2 linked regions of the Struthio camelus genome follow. The protein of the gene in region 2 interacts with the protein of the main gene of each other region in a biochemical or structural test. Links are inferred from orthologs where the notes say so. Each region holds a gene or a part of one and is shown on either strand. Other genes may lie near its edges.

Region 1 (8,869 bases), about 8.0 Mb from region 2:
ACTATTTTTGCAGTTAGGTTCACTGTGTCGATCTAACAGTGGATATAAAACTTGCAAACACTCAAATCTTAACCGTTCAAGTCCAAATGTAATTTGGCAGTTTCCAGTCGCTTAAAGATGGCAAAAGATGTTTCTCAGAAATGTCAATCGTATAGAGAAACAATTATTTTTTCAAGATTGCATTGCACTCTGAAATATTGCATTTAAATTCTCCTATTGCTCTATGGCATGAGTGAACCTTTTTTGTGTTATACAATTGTCAAGTAATTCGAAAGCTTAAAAACAACTGTCTCAGCAGACTTGAGCAGCTACCTACTTAACAGAAAAGCATCCTTTGAATCTGCTAGGATGTTTCTGAAGAAATGCTGCACTCTAAGCTAAGTATTTATAGAAACACCCTGGAAACAATAGAGAAATTCAAAATCACTTAGGAATTGCACAGCTATTGCTATTGTCATTTGCACCTCACACGCTTCCAGGCTTTCATAATGTTTCCAGAGCCAGAAGTCCCACTCCAGCCGCAGATTCTCAGTGCTTGAGTTAAGGAGAATCTCTTAGTGGTTAGTGCAATAAATCCTGTGACATACTGAATCATTCTGACTCCACCGACTGGGGAGGGTGGTAATCCTGTGCCTACTAGAGATGGTGAAAAAGTTTAATGCTACATTTCTAAGAAATGTCAAAAAACTTGATACATTAGGACAAGTGAATAAAAGATAAGAGGGCTGTAAAAGAAATGTGCATCAATTTATCTGCTGTGACTAATTGGACAGCTGATCAAAATGTGGACTTTTTGGAATAATAAATTTGGAAAAAAAATAGAAATAAAAAAATGAAATAATGATAAAAACCTTTACACATCTTTATGGATGTATACCTAAGACCTGAAAACAGCAGCTGTATAAATGGAAATTGTCAGCTTTTCTAAAGTTAAGCCAGGTCACTGGTACAGCATGGACCATGCATATTAGCTTCCCTATAGCAATGTTGATTTAAATTCAATGGGAACTTGCTTACTATTTTTGATGCAGTTACAGTTTATTGCTTGTGTGTTGCTGCAGAAGAACTTATTTTAACTCTAGAGGCATGTCATAGTGACTTCGGCAGAAGGCCGCTTGTTCTGGCCTTGTCCGCCTCTTCTTTGGTAGGAGAACAGAATTGATAAATGTGAGGTTTTTCTAGTTAATATTTGAAAACAAGCATTTCCTATAAAGAAAGAGATTATTAATTCAAGGCAATATTATGGCTTTATAGCTTCCCTGTCCATTTAAAAGATACTAAAATACATACATATTGAACAACATTCTTGGGTTCCCAGCATTCCATATTCTATCTATATCCAGATATTTAGACCTTATTAACTATCTAGAAGCGAAATGCTGATCCAAAGTAAGGGTCAGAACAATGACCTGATTTAAAGAATTTTACAACTCTACTTACCAAAAACCTTTGTCCGTTTATACTGTGCTTTCTTACGACTTTCTCACAATCCTTGTACTTTAGCTGCCAAAGAAAGGAAGATGATTATTGCACACTTAAGAATGGACTAAGGCACTCATCCACATGGCTAACTTTGAGTAGGTGCTTCAAATTAGCCTCGTGTATGCGAGAGCCTACTGTGTCTTGTCTGTCGTGGGGATCACATTAGTGAACAATATACTTTTTAATCTTCCTTGGGATAAACTCATAAAAACAGATAGATCTACAGTTCATGACCCCCACTTAGATGCTATAACCTCATGTTTTTCCATACCCTGCTGGACTGTCTAAATGGTTCATTTTGGTCCGTAAACATGGATTGTTAAGACAAAGATCCTTCAGTGTATTTTCACATATTTAGGAACAAGAAAGTTCCTGGTTCTATTCGGATAAAATTTAAATGTAAATTGAGGGACTCACAGAAATAAAATAAAATAGCCACGTTTGGAAGTACATGACTTTTAACTATTTCCAGTGGGTGCGTTAAGTTTTAGATTTGAACTGAAATAACATCATGTAAGAAAACAGCTTATCTTTTAGATCTCTAAGGGATTAAATACATTAAATATAATGGCTAGAAGGCATTTCTTCTGTTTCAAGTAGGTAAGTCCATGGCAGAAGGAACCCAAAGAGTAGGCAAAGTGACTTCTGGGAGAACTTTTTATTCTCAAAATAAAAGAATGTCTACAGCCTCGTCTGGGGCTTTAGCTAGTCAAAAGTTATACAGCTAACAGATCTTGTACTGCTGGGAGTCTTAAAGGGAACATTATGTCCTTTCTTCTTCTTTTTTTTTTTTATTCTAGTCAATTTTAAGGAGTACAATTAAATCTTGTAACTAGTTGTTGTTTGAGACCAGATCCTAGAAACATTTGAACAGCTGAGAGTTTATGGGAGCCACCTTCAGTTACTCATATACAGAAACAGACCTAACTCTGCTAAACATTTTCAAATGCATATTAAAACTTGTGCTGACTGAAGATTTAAACCTATAAATAATAACTCTTTCATATAGTGAATACCATCACAGTATCGCCAGCACAATCCTGACAGCAGCAACGAGCAACTGCTAACCAGAATTGACAAAGGTCTTAACTTCCACTGCCCTGTGACATGACCACATGATCGCTTTGTTAGGTGATGGTGGACTTGAATGTGACTGATTGATTGAAAATCATCCCTCCTTTGAAAATCATCCCTCAATTATCTCAGTGCAGCAGGAAAAGATTTGCTCATCCCTCTTGGAACTGAAGTCCTGAACATGGGGCTGCAGGATACTTCCAAGGCAAAATACATCAGTCAGATGAAAATAAAACATTGTTAAGGTATAGTACTGGACCCTTTAATCTATGTGTGAGGGAAATGGTATGGGTTAATTTGGGGAGAAGGATCTGGTCACTTAGCCCGGACTTGTCTAACTTAGGTTGACATCATTGTCTGACAGATTTCCTATAAGACTTTGAGTAGCTTTTCTTGGCCCTGATTCTCCTGTCCAAAAGAGGAATGCTAACATTACCTCTATCCTGGAGGGTGTCTGTGCATCAATAAAGGGGAGGTACTCAAAAACCCGTGTACCAATTATGATAGAACTTAGAGTTGATCCTTGTATTGCTGCTAAGAAAATCATTAGCAGCTCTTTCAGGAAGCCATTTCTTTTGTTAGTCTCTTGGAAATGGTGATCCAAACCACCATGCACCAATGCTGTAATGTCTTCCTTATTCATCTGCAATTGGTTGTTGGTAATAAGCTCATCTGCTCTATCTCTGCTTCTTTGTTCCACTGTACTGTGCTGCTAACCACTGTGCCTGGAATTAAAGGTTTGCAGATAGCTGGCAGTTTCACTTCTCTGGAGATTTTGCAAATACTGATTTTTTTGTTTGATCTGTTTGTTGCCTAGTTTTGCATTCTAGTTTCAAACTTGCCCCAACTCCCCAAAGAAAACTACGAAAACTGTTGAAACCATGAATTTTGCATGATTTCAGTGGCAAACCCTGAAGTGACCCTGTTTTTTTTTTCCCCCCAAGACTAGTCTGATAGCTCACTTGAAAATGAACACATGTATGCTCACATTGCTTGAAAATGTTCCCAAATCTTTTGATTGATCTGAATGTTAAATTCCAAGCTGACAGTTTTGGATTTGAGGAGGAACATATTCTGCAGCAAGGGAGATAGACAAGGCACTCTCTCTTATGTGAATTGAAAAACGATGAATTTGCAGAGAACATATAGAAATGAAATTTCAGTAAAATTGAGTCAGTTACACATTCCTGAGCAATTACAATGGTGTCAGCATTGCTATGTAGAAGATTAACACTGAATTGCCATATTACCTTTGAAAGTATTTCTTAACTGTGGAAAATCCTCCACCTTGTAAAATGAAATTTAGAACTGTTCACCAGTGAAAGGTATGTTAAAAGAAGCAGAAGTCCTTAGCTGACCACACAAGGTAATTTCAGAAAAAGTAACAGTGAGGGGAGAAAAGGGGTGGCTAGTAACCTTGATGAAAAGCTCTCTCATAAACAGGGGAGAAGTGAGGAAATGACCCATGAGTTTCATCCAGGAAGTTTTCAAGTAGGAAACTAGAACCACAAGGCAAAAGGTTTTCACACTGACCCTAAAAAACCCGCAGGAGTTCTTGTATCCACATCTGCTGAGTTCCTGGCTGAGTTCATATGGATGCCTTGATTAGCAAAGACATTCAGAATCTCATTTGTGAACATCGAGCAATTTGAAAAATCTCACTTCTGAAAATCATTGAAGAAGACCTAGAAAGCTTGTAATCTTTACACATTAATGTATTTTACAGCCTTCATCTATGTTTTATCAACAATTGTTATAGTAGTGTGTGCATTTGCTCTGCAAAGCCATCAGTTTCTCTTACAGTTAATTTAAAATACACTTTCAAGATTCATTTATAGGTTTTACTACCAAGTTTAGCTCAGTTTCTTAATTGGTGGTGGTTTTTGGTTTTATTTTTGCAACAAACTTTTTCTGTTAAAAAAAATCTATCTTTAGCATAAACATTTCGCAGTAGTTTGCTCCTCTGTCATACAAAGACAAAACACAGTTAAACTCACCGTCTTAAAATATTCTGCTAAGTCATCCGGGTTCCAGGTAACCACGTCTGAACGATAGGGAATGTTTCTCAAATCCATTGTAAGTAAGTTTTCTCTTTCAGGCAGCTAGAGAATGTTCATGCCAGTAGTGTCAATGAAATTGCCATGTATTCCCTGTGTGTGATCACCTCCAGCACGTATAAATAAATGCCCAGCTCCTTCTCTTTAGCAGACTTTTTATTTCAGAATCACGTTGTTAGCACATCCAAGAGAGCTACTGCTTCCTCTAATACAAAATGGTCTCTTCTCAGAAAAGTTGTCAGCTAGTCAGCCTTACCACTTCCTTTGTCTGTATATATAAATAAGTAAACAAGGAAGCACAGCAACCTGTTGAAAATGCTCTGCTTGCTGCATATAAGTAAGCTCCTATGGACTCTATTTGCTTGTAATTACATCAGAGCACGTCTTGGCATATTTCTATACTATATCCAGTATAAAAATACTGGTACTGCACTGATCTCTGCTGCACTGATCTCTGCTTCTGTGCCAGTCTTGCCCAGGCAGTCTCTGAAAACACAGAAAAGTTTACTTAAGAGAAACTTCTTCACCCTATCTCCCTGCCTGGAGTGTCACATTGGCTTTCTATATTATAATCTAATACAATTCATGCGATAGGTTTCTCAAACTCATATGCAAATTCTAATTAGCAGGCTCTCCATTATGTCTGTGGATTTGATCAAATCATATGTGCATAGCAGTATGCTACTTTATATTACATACAGAAAATAAAAGGTTCTTGTTGACGTTGAACATAAGAAGGTATGAATGATTTAGGAGTGTGAATACAGTCATCATTTGTTCAGTCTTTCAAATTTAGGGTGATGACTATCTCTCAGTGAAATTAAAAGACAAACGTATAAAAAATGACTATATTGCCATTCTTTCTCCCTCTAGCTCCATTTCTTAGCTGCCTCTAATGAGCATTGTTATATGTCTGAAAAAGAATCCACAGAACCATAATATTACCGCAGGTACCTGACAAACAGCATCTGTCATGTATAGCCAATTCCTGCACCATCCATTCAGTGAGACCCTTTGGTGAGAGTACATCGAGTAATTCAAAAGTCACCTGTTTTTTTAAAAAGACCTGGCGTGTTCATTCTCACTTTTCTTGATATGGAGCTTCCTCCCCAGGTTGTACTGGTGTGCATGCTTGGGGTCACGGTCCGCATCTGCTCCAGTGGAGAGGACAGAAGGTGGTATTTTGTGAACTTTCTATATTAGAAAGAATAGATCATAGTTCTGAAGCACTGGAAAGGAAAGTTTCTCTTCTTTCTAATGAAATGCCTCACTCTTGCTCTTTCTAGTCATTGAAGACCTTCTGACATTGGGCCGCAAATTCACAAGTTTATTGCATACAGCTCTAGTTGAGATAGCAGTCTCTGTAGTATTATGCATGAGAATTTTCCTTTTGAAATGTATAGTCTTCATTTGATTTAATGTAGCTTGCTTTTTTAGAGAAACATTTTGGGAAATGATGGCAGCAAGGTATTTAAAATTCTCTAAAACTAAACTGCTGTAACAGCTGTTCTAAACACAGCATAGAACTTAGCAAATACATGGTAGAGCTAAGTTTTATTGGTTCTTATTTGCACTGGCCTGTATAAACCATCGGAAGCATATACTGACAGTATCGCAGAAACATCATCACCTCTTCATTTTAAATCTAGGTCTAAGGAGGAAATAAGACTAAATGAACATGTGACAAAGGAACCCCAAAGGAAAAGTTGTTTTGATGGTGTATCAGCAGCAGCAGTAAAGAGGAGGTTACATGACATCTATCTCTAACTCCCCACCGGGCACCATGAGGTCTTTCAACAAAGAAACGGTTTCTTCCAGTACAGACACGTGAAGAAGACCATGCTGTAATTTCTGACTGTTCGTGCAATTACAGTTTTTCAGTACATTCCACGTGGCTCTGGAATCAAATTTCTATCCCAAGGTAAATCTAATGTAACAACTCCAATTTCAATGGTATTATTCTTTACTTACAGTAATATAAAAATTATTAGCTAAATTAAAGTTTAGTCTGACATTGTTATATGTTCAAAGAGAAAGTCGGTCACCTTTAAAGTCTATCTACTATTTTAGAGAGCCACTAACACAGAAAGTCTTAACACATTGAAGTCATCATTATTATTTGCTTGGATCCCATGATGGATGATCTTTTGTTTTATGTTGTGAGTCACTGTAAATATTTTGTAGGTACATGCTTATTGCATGCGTTTTACAAAATCCCAGCTCACACTGACTTGAGCTTTCTCTTTGTCTAGAACCATTTTTTTTGTAATTTGATAAAGGCATAGGATGTGGTGGCCGTGTCAGGGTTGCTGAGAAAACATAACTTTGAGTTTTCTGCATTTGAATTTTTAGCTATACTGCTACATTAGTGTAACAATTTTGAATTGCATCGCTAACCTATGTATGTATTTTAGTGCGGAAAATGTTACTCAGCTCACAGATAACCACACGTGAGTCACATCCTCCAATCCCAACTGAACTGCATAGAGTTGTTGTTATGAAAAATGCTTTAAATGTCTTTCTTTGTGGCCCAGAAATGTAATTTGGCAAATCTATATTCAACAAAGGGAGATCTTGGTCCTGGAAAAAAGAAAAGGACATAATTGCCTTTCTCTTTCAGTTTTTCCCATGTTCACTTTTCTGGCATTTCCCCACTTGTTTATTGCTTCTCTCTCTCTCTTCAGAGCCACAGTTATTGCATCTAGAATCAGCACTTTCTCGCAGTGCCCCTGTTGCTGCAGCGTCTTCTGCTCATAGAGAGGGAACTCCCAACACTGTAATGGCTGCCAAGAGGGGAAATTGAAAAAGTTGAATGTCCAAGTTTAGGAAAGCCCATGTCTAATCTCTAGTCAGATTTGGGTAGGAGGGTAAAGAAGGATGTTAGGGAAGCAATAACATCCAATTTTTATGGAGGAAGACGGAATGACTGCAGGGTGGTTGGGTGAACCACAACCAACATACAAGGCCACAGAGAGCTCTTGTAGAAGAAAGCCAAGTTTGACAAGCTACATACAGGAATTCGATTGTTAACTGAAAACATTTCAGAGGTGGCAATCCTCACTTTCTGCTTAGATCCTGCTATTGTGTTTTTCATGAGAGGGAATGATCACATGCTTTTAGATCTTAGTAGTCCCATCTTATGTTGCAAGTGAGGACGGAAGTGAAGACAGAATGAGTTTGCAGGACAATACACATCTCTTCTGTAATAGAATTTGTTATAGACATCAGATGGCAATCTTCCATGAAATGGATTTAGATTCAGATTTCCAAATTTCTCCTAGATTTCCAAATTCTGAGGAGAACGTTCATGTTACAACTGTTACCAGTTTCATACCTATTTCACTGTGACCTTTTTTTCCCTTTTGAAAGAATTAGGTCTTTTAAAGTCAATACCTGCAGTGACACAACCTTGGCATAAAGAAATATGCCTCTTCTAATAACAGCTGCCAGCGGAACAGTTTTTTCAGATGTAGCAATGGTCTGCTAAGCAGTATTTGAAATCTGAGAGCCTAGCCCTTTCAGGTAAAGTAGGAGGGAAATTCACGTTGCCCACATTCTGCTGTGTTCAGAGGGCCTCAGTACTTTCCATGTCCTCTCATCTCTTCTGTCCCCTAGCACCCTGCTCAAAGTGGAATCAAGGGCTTACTTAGAACAGCTTTCAGAGTGGTTTATTTTTCTGCAAAAAATAAACAGTTGCCAGGTCAATTTTTCTAGAGCCAAGCAAAAAAAGTTCAAATTTCATATGAATGTGGTCTTCATGTTCATCTCCAGCCCAAAGCAAAGTGGATTTCGATGACATGTTTTTCTGTAGTCCTGGCCAGTATTGTTTTTCAAAGTCTCAGGCAATAATTTTTTTCTTTTCATCTTGGGACTATTTATTATTGCCAACCTACGTTTTCTTTTATCATTGCATCCTCTCATTCCGAGTTGTATACATGCCTATACAACATGGTAAGAATGTTTTCATTTTTATGCCATTTAAATATCTTCCTAGTAATGTTGTATATTCCTTACTGTCTTTAATAATCACTAAGCCACACTTGCCACTCCTTAAATGTCCTTATCCATTATTCCCTTCAATCTTGCAGTCAAATGTTAACCTTCATTTTGCAATGTCTGTGCAGTAATAGAAGATGCAGAACCAAGTTTTTCAAAAGTTAACAAAAACCTCTTTGGCTGGATTCTAATTACAAACCTGCCTCACCACCTAGCGGCTAGCCCGCAGAGAACACCAGTGAGTAGGGACCACTATTTTA
Region 2 (11,736 bases):
AGATCTGAGTGAAGGAGCCCAGGACAAGGCTTACTCATGCTACTTTACCTCTTGAGCATCTAACCAGTGTAGGAAGAATAGTGCGGATATAAATGAAGAGGAAACTCACTCCTTTTTTCTGTGTTTCCTTCATCGCTTTCTTTGAAAACTAGACTAGTAAGAGTCCATCACTGCATGAAGCTAAAAAATACGTAGGTGCCTGAACTTCCCAGGTGTTTGGTATAACTTCCCAGTCCTTAAATACATCTTTTTAGAATGCCCCTGTAGGGCAAGGCATTATAAGAGGTCTATTTCCGAAGGGACAACCCATGGCACGGGGACATGGAGTACCTCTCCTTGGCTGGTACAGACAGATCCAAGCACTCGCCATAGCTCAGAGCAGCCCCAGAACGAGCAGCTCCAACCCAGCTGCACAGCTGCATTAGTGTGGCACCATCCTGAAGGACAGCAGCCCAGTTACTGAAGTGTGGCATCAGCCTCCCATATCTGTGCCACTTTCAGATGACAGCCAGCTTGAATTTCAAGCAGAGAGGCTCATTTCTGTCTGTCCTCATCCTGGTAGATGTGGCGTATGTGACATGCAAAGACCATGCATGAACCTCTGCTTAGATTCTGACCTGCAAATTATCTCTTTTTACTCTCCTGTCTGCTAGTTTGGAGGATTTACTATAGATCGTAAGCCATTAGGCCAACAGGACTTAGGTAACTGACCAGTTCAGGCATTTTTGCTATGGCCAAGTAAGTACATTTGAAAGCCTGCCCCAGAGATCCCTGCCAAAGGGAGTCACTTGCCTGCTGCTTTTGCAGTAATGCAAATAGGTGCTGGGACTCTGGGAGTATCGCATAAGTGTCTGCATTACAGGTTATTCTGATGAGGATCAAACTCACTGAAATAGTTAAAATGATCACTCCCATGTGCTCATTTACTCATGTGCACAGTAGCTGTAAAATTAGACCCTAGAAGCTCATGGAAGTGATTTGCATGTTATTATAAAGGCACTTCTGATGTATTTTAGTAGAGACAGGGGCTGAACACACGTGCTTTATGCTAAGACAGCCCTGCATTGTGCACCGTGTAATGAATTCCAGAAAACATAGCTTCTTATTGTTGTCACTTATTGGGGATTCATTCTCCTAATGAGATATGTAAATATCTTTCATTAGCATTAATGGCTATTGTGTGCTTGGCTCATGACGCGAAAAGAGCTTTCTCTCCAGCTACGTGCTGTTAAAACGGAAAATGATATTACAGTTATTGCAAAAATTTGCCTTTATGATGCCAGTAGTCCAGTTAGCTTTTGATATTATTTAGAGAATTATCCAGTATTTTACTTTGGCCTGTTTATTTTCTTGCTTTGGACTGCTACACTCAAACTCTTAAAGATCCTTTCATACCCATATTGTCAAAATTCAGAGAAAGGGACTGGATGCCAAACCCTGTTATCACTGTGTTCTCAATACAGTCAAAATACAGTAGCCTGTGCTTAGCACATGAGCATATGCTTTACTTTAAGCCACTCCACTGAAATCTACGGGACTCTGCAAACTGTTAAGCAGTTAGCAAATTCTTTTATCTGAATTTATGTATAGGCTGTTGTTACTGACTCACCTGGGACCAGAGAGGTGGATACCGTGCAATACTGAACTCCAAGTACAGTAATCAACTAGACATGTTGGTAAGGGGTTCTTAAAGAAGCTCTCCAAAATCTCTTGTAGCAAACATCCACAGAGATTGTCCTTGGAACCCGCATACTTTAAAAGCCCAGCACTTGCTGGCCCCCTCTATACAGTGCAGCGAGCGAGCCTGAGTCACTGAGGCCAGCGAGCACAGAGCAGCCGATGCCATGCTGCTTGGCCCCCTCGCCTCCTGAGTGAGGTGGCCACAAGCAGATGGTCTACTGACAACGGCCCATGGTCTATGCTAATGCCTGCCGTCCCCACGAATTGTCTGAGCAGAGCCAAAACTGTGCCAGGGCCTGTGCTGGAAGAGTCCTGGTACACACCATTAATTTCTATGCCTGCAAATGCTCCCTGGTCCTGTTTGGTTTGCTAGGATGGACATAGCCAGCGTGTCAGGCAAATACAATCATTTTCCCGTCACGGGCCGCAAGGCTGTGAACATGGTTGCTCAGGATTCACTCAGTTCTTAGCATGAGACACGACAGCGATTCCACGGCCTGCCTTAAGCTTTCCTCTCCAGAACAGGGATGACCAGACTGCATGGAGGCCTGACCAGGATGATCTGTTTTGTGGGAAATACACTGAAGAGCCTGAGGACTGGTTCTGGGAGCATGTAAAAGCGCAAATACTCTTTCCACATTTGGTACTAAGTTCTTCTGTTAATGTAATGACCTGATTTTGATAGTTTGTATCAACACAAAATCAATGTTTCATGGAACATCGGCCCTGAAGTTATAGACATACCCACAGTCACTCAAATGTTTGTATGTGCCTAAAGTCATATTAGTGTGTTCATACATATGTATGTCTATACATATGTAATGCGTGTAAGTTTATAACAGATAACATATGAGATAGAGTAGATAGTGCACCAAGTCCTCATCTGGTCCAACTTTGCATAGATCTATTTTGATGCCTCTGGACTTACAGCATTTTAAATCACTTAAAGATCTGGTCCTCTATGGTCTGATTTTGGACATCAAATTTTCAGAAGTTCCTAAGTTCCTAACCTACATAAATAAATAAATAAGTAAATAAAAAGGTATTTGCCAGCTGTCGTTCACCATGAATTCAGATTTTGAATGTGTAGTGTACCAATGTGCCTTTGCAAGCTTTTTAAATATTTGTGTTGGGGCAGTCTGAATATATCCCACAATGGCCTACTTGACATTCAGGAAGGCTAGGGGATAACATTTCCCAAGATGCTCATGTAACATATGAAATCTAAGCCCCACTGAAAGTCACTAAGTCAGATTTTCCAAACTACTTATGTGTCTAAAAATGCAGGCAGACACCTGTGCAATTCCGCAAAAGTACTTAGGCAGGATAAATGCTGAATTCCTCTCAAATCCATCAGGATTCAGAAAGTACCAAAAAACCCTAGGTATTAAGATTCCTCTAAATACGTACAGCTGAATCACTTAGATGTTTTTGAAAATTTTACCCAGCATAATCGAGTAGAATGGTTAGAATCCAAAATCTTAAAATAATAACATCTGAAAGATAGTCTGGATAGCAGCCACAGAGAGTCTGAAACTAAATACAGAAAAACAAGGCAGCAATAAATGTTTTCCTATTTAAATATGGAGGTATGGAAAAGCACCATCTATAAAATAAAAGCAAGTAAAACATTTGCTGAACATATTTGAGAGAAGTAACTTGCAAGTAATAATGACTATTAACCCTTAAGACAGGTATCCAACCTCAACTGGGCAATGATATGATACAAGGGCTCATCGTAATTTGCTTTCCTTGTTGGTTTCAGTTTTAAATTAATTTTCTATGTCTGTGAGCAATGTCTGATGATCTCAAGTTGCCAAAGCCAGACAGCAAGGCAACACGGTCCCCAGTACTTGCTTGTGTAAGGTAACATCACTTAAACATAATGGATTAATCGCATATTCAGCAATTATTGGAAAACAAGCTGTATGATTTACAACTGTCTAATGAGGCCCAGAAAACATCCAGCTAAATATAGGAAGAGGGGAATAATTCTTACTTCACTAGCATAGCTAGCACAATGGGGTGTGCAGACTGGCTTCTAATTTTCTTCATATTTAGCAAATCAGAGAAATGAAAGCTGAAAAAATGACTAGTCTGAGCATGTATCTCATCATCACATTCCTTTTTAAGCTAAATCCAAAGGCTAGACCTGTTAAGCATGGCAGCTGAATTTATCTAAAAATGTAAGACCTAGCAGCCACCAGTTTGTTACCCTAAAGAAAGATGAGAGAGTAAAGACAGGGGCTGATTTTTTTTCCCAGATGTAATTAGGGTACATAGCGCAGAACACTTGTGATCGCTGCAATGTGCCGCTGCAGGTCACTCCTGTACCAACGCAAACAGCCAGGCGCAGACCCACTCGGCTGTTACATATATCGGTTGTGACAGCCCACTGTAAATTCCTACAACAAAACTAGATCTTTTCTGTAAAACAGCTAGGTAGTCTTATTCCCCCATTCACACCAGATGCCCATTGACCAGTAGTTTTGAATGACCAGTTTGACCACTTTGCAATTTTCAGCAAATGGTGCTGTAATAAGGACTAGAAATACGAAGTTGATAATGCTTAACGGAGAGTTCATCCTTCCTTCCATTGCTGTATTATGTGAGAGAAAATGGCTGACATACCCCATGGCGATGTTCATAGTAAGCCAACTTGGACTGGGTTAAGACAAAGAAGCGCACTTTGAAGTTGGAGGGAGACGTCCTTCTCTTCTGCTGGGATTTTTTGATGAGCTGTTCCTCCAGGAGCACACAGTTATTCATTGCTGAGCCAAGAACAGTCCTCTCCCAGGACATGGGATGCCTGCCCTACGCGCTGAGCACCCGTCCAAGACAGAGAAACAAGAAGGAAGACAGTTAATTTTTTTAACAAAAAAGGTGTTCATAAGGCAGCGTAGGTGCTTTGAGCTTTATCTTCCCATCTACAGCAGGCTTCCTTTCTGTCAAACCATAACCACATCCTCTCTGAAGTCATAAACCGAACAGCACATGCTGAAATATCCTCTAAGGTAAATGTTGTGGAAAAAATAACACTTCAGCGACATTCAACAGATGTGAGTCAATGATCAAGGATTAATAAAGAGGTGTGGCATGATTAAGCATCTGTCTCCTACTTGTCCATCCAGTAAATACAGTTATAAATGCATACACTGAACTTGAATGTATAGGAGAAGTGTCTTTCCTGTCCTCTTAGAAGTAGGTCACACATCCTTTTTTGTTTTTTTTACGAAAAAAAGTATTTTGAGGAAATTTCTTACATAACATGAAAGTTCCTAATATGTAAGCAAAGGCAAAAAGGCAGTTCAAAGCAATTAAACCTACTACCCATATAAAAAATCATATCCATTATATATTTTTACAAGGAAGGATAAATACTTACAGTTGTTAGATATTTAATCTGATAGCAAACAGTTATAATAACTGATAACTAATTAGTTATTATCAGTTACTGTTTACTGATTGCTGTCTGCTTCATAGGCACTCTAATTAGTCCAGAGCTGAATGCTGCGAGAAACACAGGCACAACATACACTCTGTGTAATCAAGATCCCTGTCATCAGCAGCAAAGTGAGCAGAAATACCAAAATAAGTGCAATACGTTTCCTCAGGACTTCACTGCACCATTCTGGACAGCCTGCAGCAGCTTAATTTTAGAATTTTAAAACATGTAAATATTTTAAATATTTTAAAAAAACTCAGTAAAAAAACCATTTGTTTTAAAACAAATGCAATAGATTTTCCTCTGTTCTTGCATTTTTAATATTTTGTGCATTATTTTATCAGTGATGTATAACTGTAGTGTTGATGCTATTGGGGCTTGGAGACATGGAGTCTGGTGGAATGAGTGAGATGCCAGATAAGTATTATCATTAATCAGGTATTTCTGAAAATTACTCCACTCTACATCATTTGCCAGTGCTGGCTTTTTGCAAGATCCCATTTGATCCTAACACAACATTAGGATACAAGGAGATAGCTCCCTCTTTCTGATGTATTTTTAGAGTTGTTTTCAAGTTTCAAAGAAGATACTTCATTGTTTTAAATTCAGTTCTTGAGGAAAAAATCTAAATAAATATAAGACTGGCAAACTCTGTTTAAATGAAGACTTAGATTTTGTAGGCCAGTTCTTGGGCACAAACTTGGGAACAGTATTTCTCAATAGAATATATGGAGAAACAGGTAAGCATATCCCTTCCTTGCTGTTTCATGTTATACTGAGCATTTGCTCAGACAAAATACCCCAGGGATTGTCAAACGTTCCTTATATATCTTGCTTAATGCTATCAAGAACCTATATTTGCCATAAGAATACAATTTAAAGTTAGTGTTTTCTCTGCAGTTCTGAAAGAGAACTTGCTAAAGCAATCCAAACCACAGAACAGGGAGAAACAGAAGCTGTTGTGCAGTTGATCCCTGTATTTATCTCTACGTGGTGGTCTTGCAGAAGAAGAAATGCAGTGTATACTGAAACACTGCATGCAAGACTAGAGAAGCTATGTTTCATTTCTTGGTAGTGTGACTGAGTTCCAAGGAACCCTTGTGGTTGAACAAGAAAAATGACGTAAGTCTGTGATCTCCTGAAAAACTGTCACCACTGCCAAGGGGGATTTCATATCTATTTGAAGACTAGGATAAACTCTTGGGCCAAATTGCCAAATCCTTCTACAAAACACACACACGCCTCATGCAATGCACATGTATGGCAAATTCAGCATCCACTGTGAGTGTTCTAAAATTGTGCTCTCTGTAAATAACTACTGTTCTTATTCTTCCAGAACTTCCTTAGGCCCACTTTTGTGTGCACATAATTATTCTCATGCTTGAGAATTTACTGGTTTAAATTATGCTCCAAGATTCTCTTATTGTAACTACAAAACTGAAACACAGAGAGTAGAGTGCCCGCATACATTAACTCCATGGGACTTCATTGTGCTAGCAGCAGGGAATCCAAAAAAAGACAATAGATTTCACTTGTAACTAGCTTCATTGTTTCTAATGCTATTGCATTTTTAGCTATGGACACTTAGGACTGCGCTATTCTTTCTATTCTGTTTTTTGCATTGACTGCAAAAAGACTTTCTGAAAAGTCTTAGTTGCTTATACCAAGGAGGTTCACAATCTGTTGGCTGAGATTTTCACGTTGTCTTTTCAGAAAATTGAACATAAAGAGAAATTTAAGGGTGTGACATTGCACCTCTGCAAAAAAAGCAAGGCCTACAGGACAGCGAAGAGGTGAAAAACCCAGAAGCAGGCCTTTGAGGGGAGCACTGCTGCTGGAGACAGGATGTGGGGGGAGAAGAGAGATTCAGTAAGGGTGGGATGTTGAGGGGGCGAGCTAAGTAATTCTTTGAAAGTAGTGAAAGGCAGCTTGATTTCTTCATGCGATAAGAGATAAGGAGTTAGTGGAAAGATATGAAGAGGGGAGGCATTTGATCAAATGTTTAGACCTGGAGCCTGGCAACTACACTTGGTATGATGCAAACATGGTACGATGTGATGCACTGTAGGAGGTCTGAGAGGAAGACATTGCAAGAGTCAAGGCAAGACAGAATCAAGGACCAAACAAGTGATTTGGCTCTGGGCATGGAAGAACTGGACAGGCTGAGCTGCTGACAAAGAAATTTCACAGATTTGATACAACACACATGTAGGAATAAAGGCAGAAAGTTGTAAGAAAATAATCACAAATTTTAGCCTCATAGATAGTTATATCGTAACTAGCAGGATTTAGAAGGTGAGATTAGCTATTCTGAGTTTTCCATGGTGAATTCAAGCTGATGATTGTCCAGCTAAGATATAACTGACAACTCTTGACATGTTGAATCAAGGAGGAAAGTAGCGACTGGTGTATTTTTGCATCTACTCTTACCACAGATCTATACATTCATGCTACTTTTTCCATTTTAATCCCAATAAATATGTGTACTAAGCATGCAAATATTTGAATACAGCCGGCCAAGAACAGAGGATGAATACTTTGTAAGTCTAATAATTATAAGGCCACGCTGACATGCATATAAAGAAGCAAATGCTTCAAGAATTGTACTTATATTTAATTAAACATTTATGATTAAGTAACCTGCTTATGTGTATTTGAATGGAATTTATTTCAAAGATCATTGTGTGTTCTTAATTTTGTAATATAATTCTTTGTTGCTTTCAAGACATGAATTGGTCTTCTTTCATGAAGACATGAGCGCAGCCAACAGAGGCAGTGAACAGACACAGTAGTTTGCGCAGCAGTTCGCGCAGAAGGGTGCCAGAAGGCAAAGAAGGCACCTCTCCATTTTGCACAGTGGTGTGTCCTTCCCCGGGCATGGTCATGACATGCCGCAGAGCACGTTCCCCAGCGGCTGTTGGAGGTGCTGCATCAGCTGTGTCTGAGGCTTCAACCCAGACAGACCCTCTGACAGCAGATGCAGCTCTGCAGGTGTCAGGCTGCAGGGAGTGCCTGGGGCCTCTCCGTGAGGCCTGGGCTGACAGTCAGCTCTCCTGCATGAGGTGTGCTGTGGTTGACCAGTTGCATCACCAGATAAAGGAGTTACGGGAGGAAGTCAGTAGGCTGCGTAGCATCCGAGAAGATGAGCGGGAGATTGACAGGGTATTCTCGGAGACTGTGCAGCTCCAGGAGTCCTCACCCCACACTGCAGCGGAGTTGTTGGAGGGCTCTGTACCGTGTGTAAAGCTGCATCATAACGCTGTTGAAGAGGGCTGGAAGCTGGTGACCTCTCGTAGAAGGAGAAATGCTCCTGCTCCTCCTCAAGATTTACCCTTGAAGAACAAGCTTAGCGCCCTCCAAGCTGAGGAGGAGCTGGGCATGGCTCCAAGGGAGGCAACTGACCTCACAGACCCTGTGCCGTGCAGGAACACCCGGAAGAAGCGGCCAGTGATTGTTGTGGGTGACTCCCTGCTGCAGGGGACAGAGGCACCTCTCTGCCGACCCGACCTCTTGTCCAGAGAGGTTTGCTGCCTGCCAGAGGCTCAAAGAAGACATGTCATGGAAAGACTGCCAAGGCTTGTCCACGCATCGGACTACTACCCTCTGCTGATCTTCCATGCTAACAAGAACAAAAGGCAAATTGGAAACCATCAAACGGGACTTCATAGCTCTGGGAAGGGTGGTGAAGGGTCTGGGAGCCCAGGTCGTTTTCTCCTCAATCTTGCCTGTGAGGGGAAAGGACGGGAGGAGGAGTAGACGAATTTTCCAAGTTAACAACTGGCTGCGCCGCTGGTGTTGGCAACAGGGCTTTGGTTTCTATGACCATGGGACCCTGTTTGAAGATCAACAGCTGATGGGGAGTGATGGGATCCACCTTACCAAGCGGGGCACGCGCGTCTTTGCCAACAGGTTGGCCAGCCTGGTACGGAGGGCTTTAAACTAGGCAAGATGGGGGAAGGGGAGTGGTATAGTGGCAGGGGAGTCACTAAAACACCGCTCAAGTCAGGATGCCTCCAGCGGGTGCAGACAGCCAGGGGAGAAAGCATGGAACATGGCCATGGAGGATCCTCTTGCACCTCTCCTGGGAAGCCTGCGTGCTTGACTGGCTCTCTGGAATGCCTGCATACCAATGCACGCAGCATGGGGAATAAGCAGGAAGAGTTAGAGATCTGTGTGCGGTCGCAGGGCCATGATCTCATTGCAGTGACAGAGACATGGTGGGATAGTTCACATGACTGCAGTGCTGTCATGGATGGCTATGTGCTTTTTAGGAAAGACAGGCCAGGCAGGCGAGGTGGTGGAGTTGCTCTTTATGTGAGGGAGCAACTAGAATGTATGGAGCTCTGCCTCGGGGTGGATGAAGAGCAAGTTGAGAGCCTATGGGTAAGGATTAAAGGGCAGGCTAACATGGGTGACACTGTTGTGGGGGTTTACTACAGGCCACCTGACCAGGAGGAAGTCATCGATGAGGCCTTCTACAGACAGCTGGAAGTAGCCTCACGATCACAGGCCCTGGTTCTCATGGGAGACTTCAACCACCCTGACATCTGTTGGCAAGACAGCACAGCTAGGCACAAACAGTCCAAGAGGTTCCTGCAAACCATTGATAATTTCTTGACCCAGGTGGTGGAGACGCCAACGAGGAGAGGTGCATTGCTAGACCTTGTACTAACGAACAAAGAAGGTCTGGTTGGAGATGTGAAGGTTGGGGGCAGCCTTGGCTGCAGTGACCATGAGATGGTGGAGTTCAGGATCCTACGAGGAGGGAGCAGGGCAATGAGTAGGATTGCAACGCTGGACTTCAGGAGAGCTAACTTTGGCCTCTTCAGGGACCTACTTAGGGGAATCTCATGGGGTAGGGCCCTAGAAGGAAGAGGGGTCCAAGAAAGCTGGTTAATATTCAAGCATCACCTCCTCCAGGCTCAAGATCGGTGCATCCCTCTGACTAAGAAGTCGAGCAAAGCGGGCAGGAGACCTGCATGGCTGAGCAAGGAACTCCTGGCAAAACTTCAATAGAATAAGGAAGTACACAGAATGTGGAAAAGGGGACAGGCCACTTGGGAGGAATATAGAGACGTTGTCAGAGTGTGCAGGGATGCAACAAGGAAGGCTAAGGCCCAGTTGGAATTAAATCTGGCAAGGGATGTCAAGGACAACAAGAAGGGGTTCTTCAAATACATCAATAGCAGAAGGAAGACTAGGGAAAATGTGAGCCCGCTGCTGAATGGGGCGGGTGCCCTGGTAACAAAGGATATAGAGAAGGCAGAGTTACTGAATGCTGCCTTTGCTTCAGTCTTCACTGCTAAGGCCAGTCCTCAGGAATTCCAGACCCTGGGGACAAGAGAGGAAGGCTGGAGAAAGGAAGACTCTCCCTTGGTGGAGGAGGATCAGGTTAGAGATCTTTTGTCCAAACTTGACATCCATAAATCCATGGGCCCCGATGGGATGCACCCACGAGTGCTGAGGGAGCTGGCGGATGTTATCGCTAGGCCACTCTCCATCATCTTTGAAAGGTCATGGCAATCAGGAGAGGTGCCTGAGGACTGGAAGAAAGCCAATGTCACGCCAGTCTTCAAAAAGGGCAAGAAGGAGGAGCCAGGAAACTACAAGCCTGTCAGCCTCACCTCCATCCCTGGAAAGGTGATGGAACAGCTCGTCCTGGAGGTCCTCACTAAGCATCTGGAGGACAAGAAGGTGATCAGGAGGAGTCAGCATGGATTCACCAAAGGGAAATCATGCTTGACCAATCTGACAGCCTTCTATGACAGAATGACTGGCTGGGTAGATGAGGGCAGAGCAGTGGATGTTGTCTTTCTGGACTTCAGCAAGGCTTTTGACACTGTCTCCCATCACATCCTCCTAGGTAAGCTCAGGAAGTGTGGGCTAGACGAGTGGACAGTGAGGTGGATTGAGAACTGGCTGGATGGCCGAGCTCACAGGGTTGTGGTGAATGGCGCAGAGTCAAGTTGGAGGCCTGTGGCTAGCGGTGTCCCCCAGGGCTCAGTCCTGGGCCCAGTCTTGTTCAATATATTCATCAATGACCTGGATGAAGGCACAGAGTGCACCCTCAGCAAGTTTGCTGATGATACTAAACTGGGGGGAGTGGCTAACACACCAGAAGGCTGTGCTGCCATTCAGGGGGACCTGGACAGGCTGGAGAGCTGGGGGGAGAGGAACCTCAGGAAGTTCAACAAAGGCAAGTGCAAGGTCCTGCACCTAGGCAGGAATAATCCCCTGCACCAGTACAGGCTGGGGGTTGACCTGCTGGAAAGCAGCTCTGCAGAGAGGGACCTGGGAGTGCTGGTGGACAACAAGTTAAGCATGAGCCAGCAGTGTGCCCTTGTGGCCAAGAAGGCCAAGGGTCTCCTGGGTTGCATGAGGCAGAGTGTTGCCAGCAGGTCGAGGGAGGTGATCCTGCCCCTCTCCTCAGCCCTGGGGAGGCCTCACCTGGAGTACCGTGTCCACTTCTGGGCTCCCCACTACAAGAGAGACATGGCACTCCTGGAGAGAGTCCAGCGGAGGGCTACCAAGATGATTAGAGGGCTGGAGCATCTCTCCTCTGAAGAAAGACTGCAAGAGCTGGGCCTGTTCAGCCTGGAGAAGAGAAGATT

The links.
Region 1: the proteins of ITK (region 2) and LCP2 form a complex in vitro, tested with the Homo sapiens proteins (2 studies listed by BioGRID, with this or other methods). The link is inferred for Struthio camelus from reciprocal best matches to the Homo sapiens genes ITK and LCP2.

The regions. Positions count from the first base shown.
Region 1 is NC_090954.1:19,269,984-19,278,852, forward strand, and holds the start of LCP2 (lymphocyte cytosolic protein 2), read right to left. Parts: upstream 4,870-8,869; 5' UTR 4,632-4,869; coding exon 4,554-4,631; intron 2,802-4,553; exon of another isoform or gene 2,611-2,801; intron 1,504-2,610; coding exon 1,441-1,503; intron 1-1,440. UniProt on the Homo sapiens protein: Adapter protein primarily involved in signaling pathways within T-cells, as well as other immune cells such as platelets, mast cells, and natural killer (NK) cells.
Region 2 is NC_090954.1:11,275,223-11,286,958, forward strand, and holds the start of ITK (tyrosine-protein kinase ITK/TSK), read right to left. Parts: upstream 4,550-11,736; 5' UTR 4,483-4,549; coding exon 4,312-4,482; intron 1-4,311. UniProt on the Homo sapiens protein: Tyrosine kinase that plays an essential role in regulation of the adaptive immune response. Regulates the development, function and differentiation of conventional T-cells and nonconventional NKT-cells.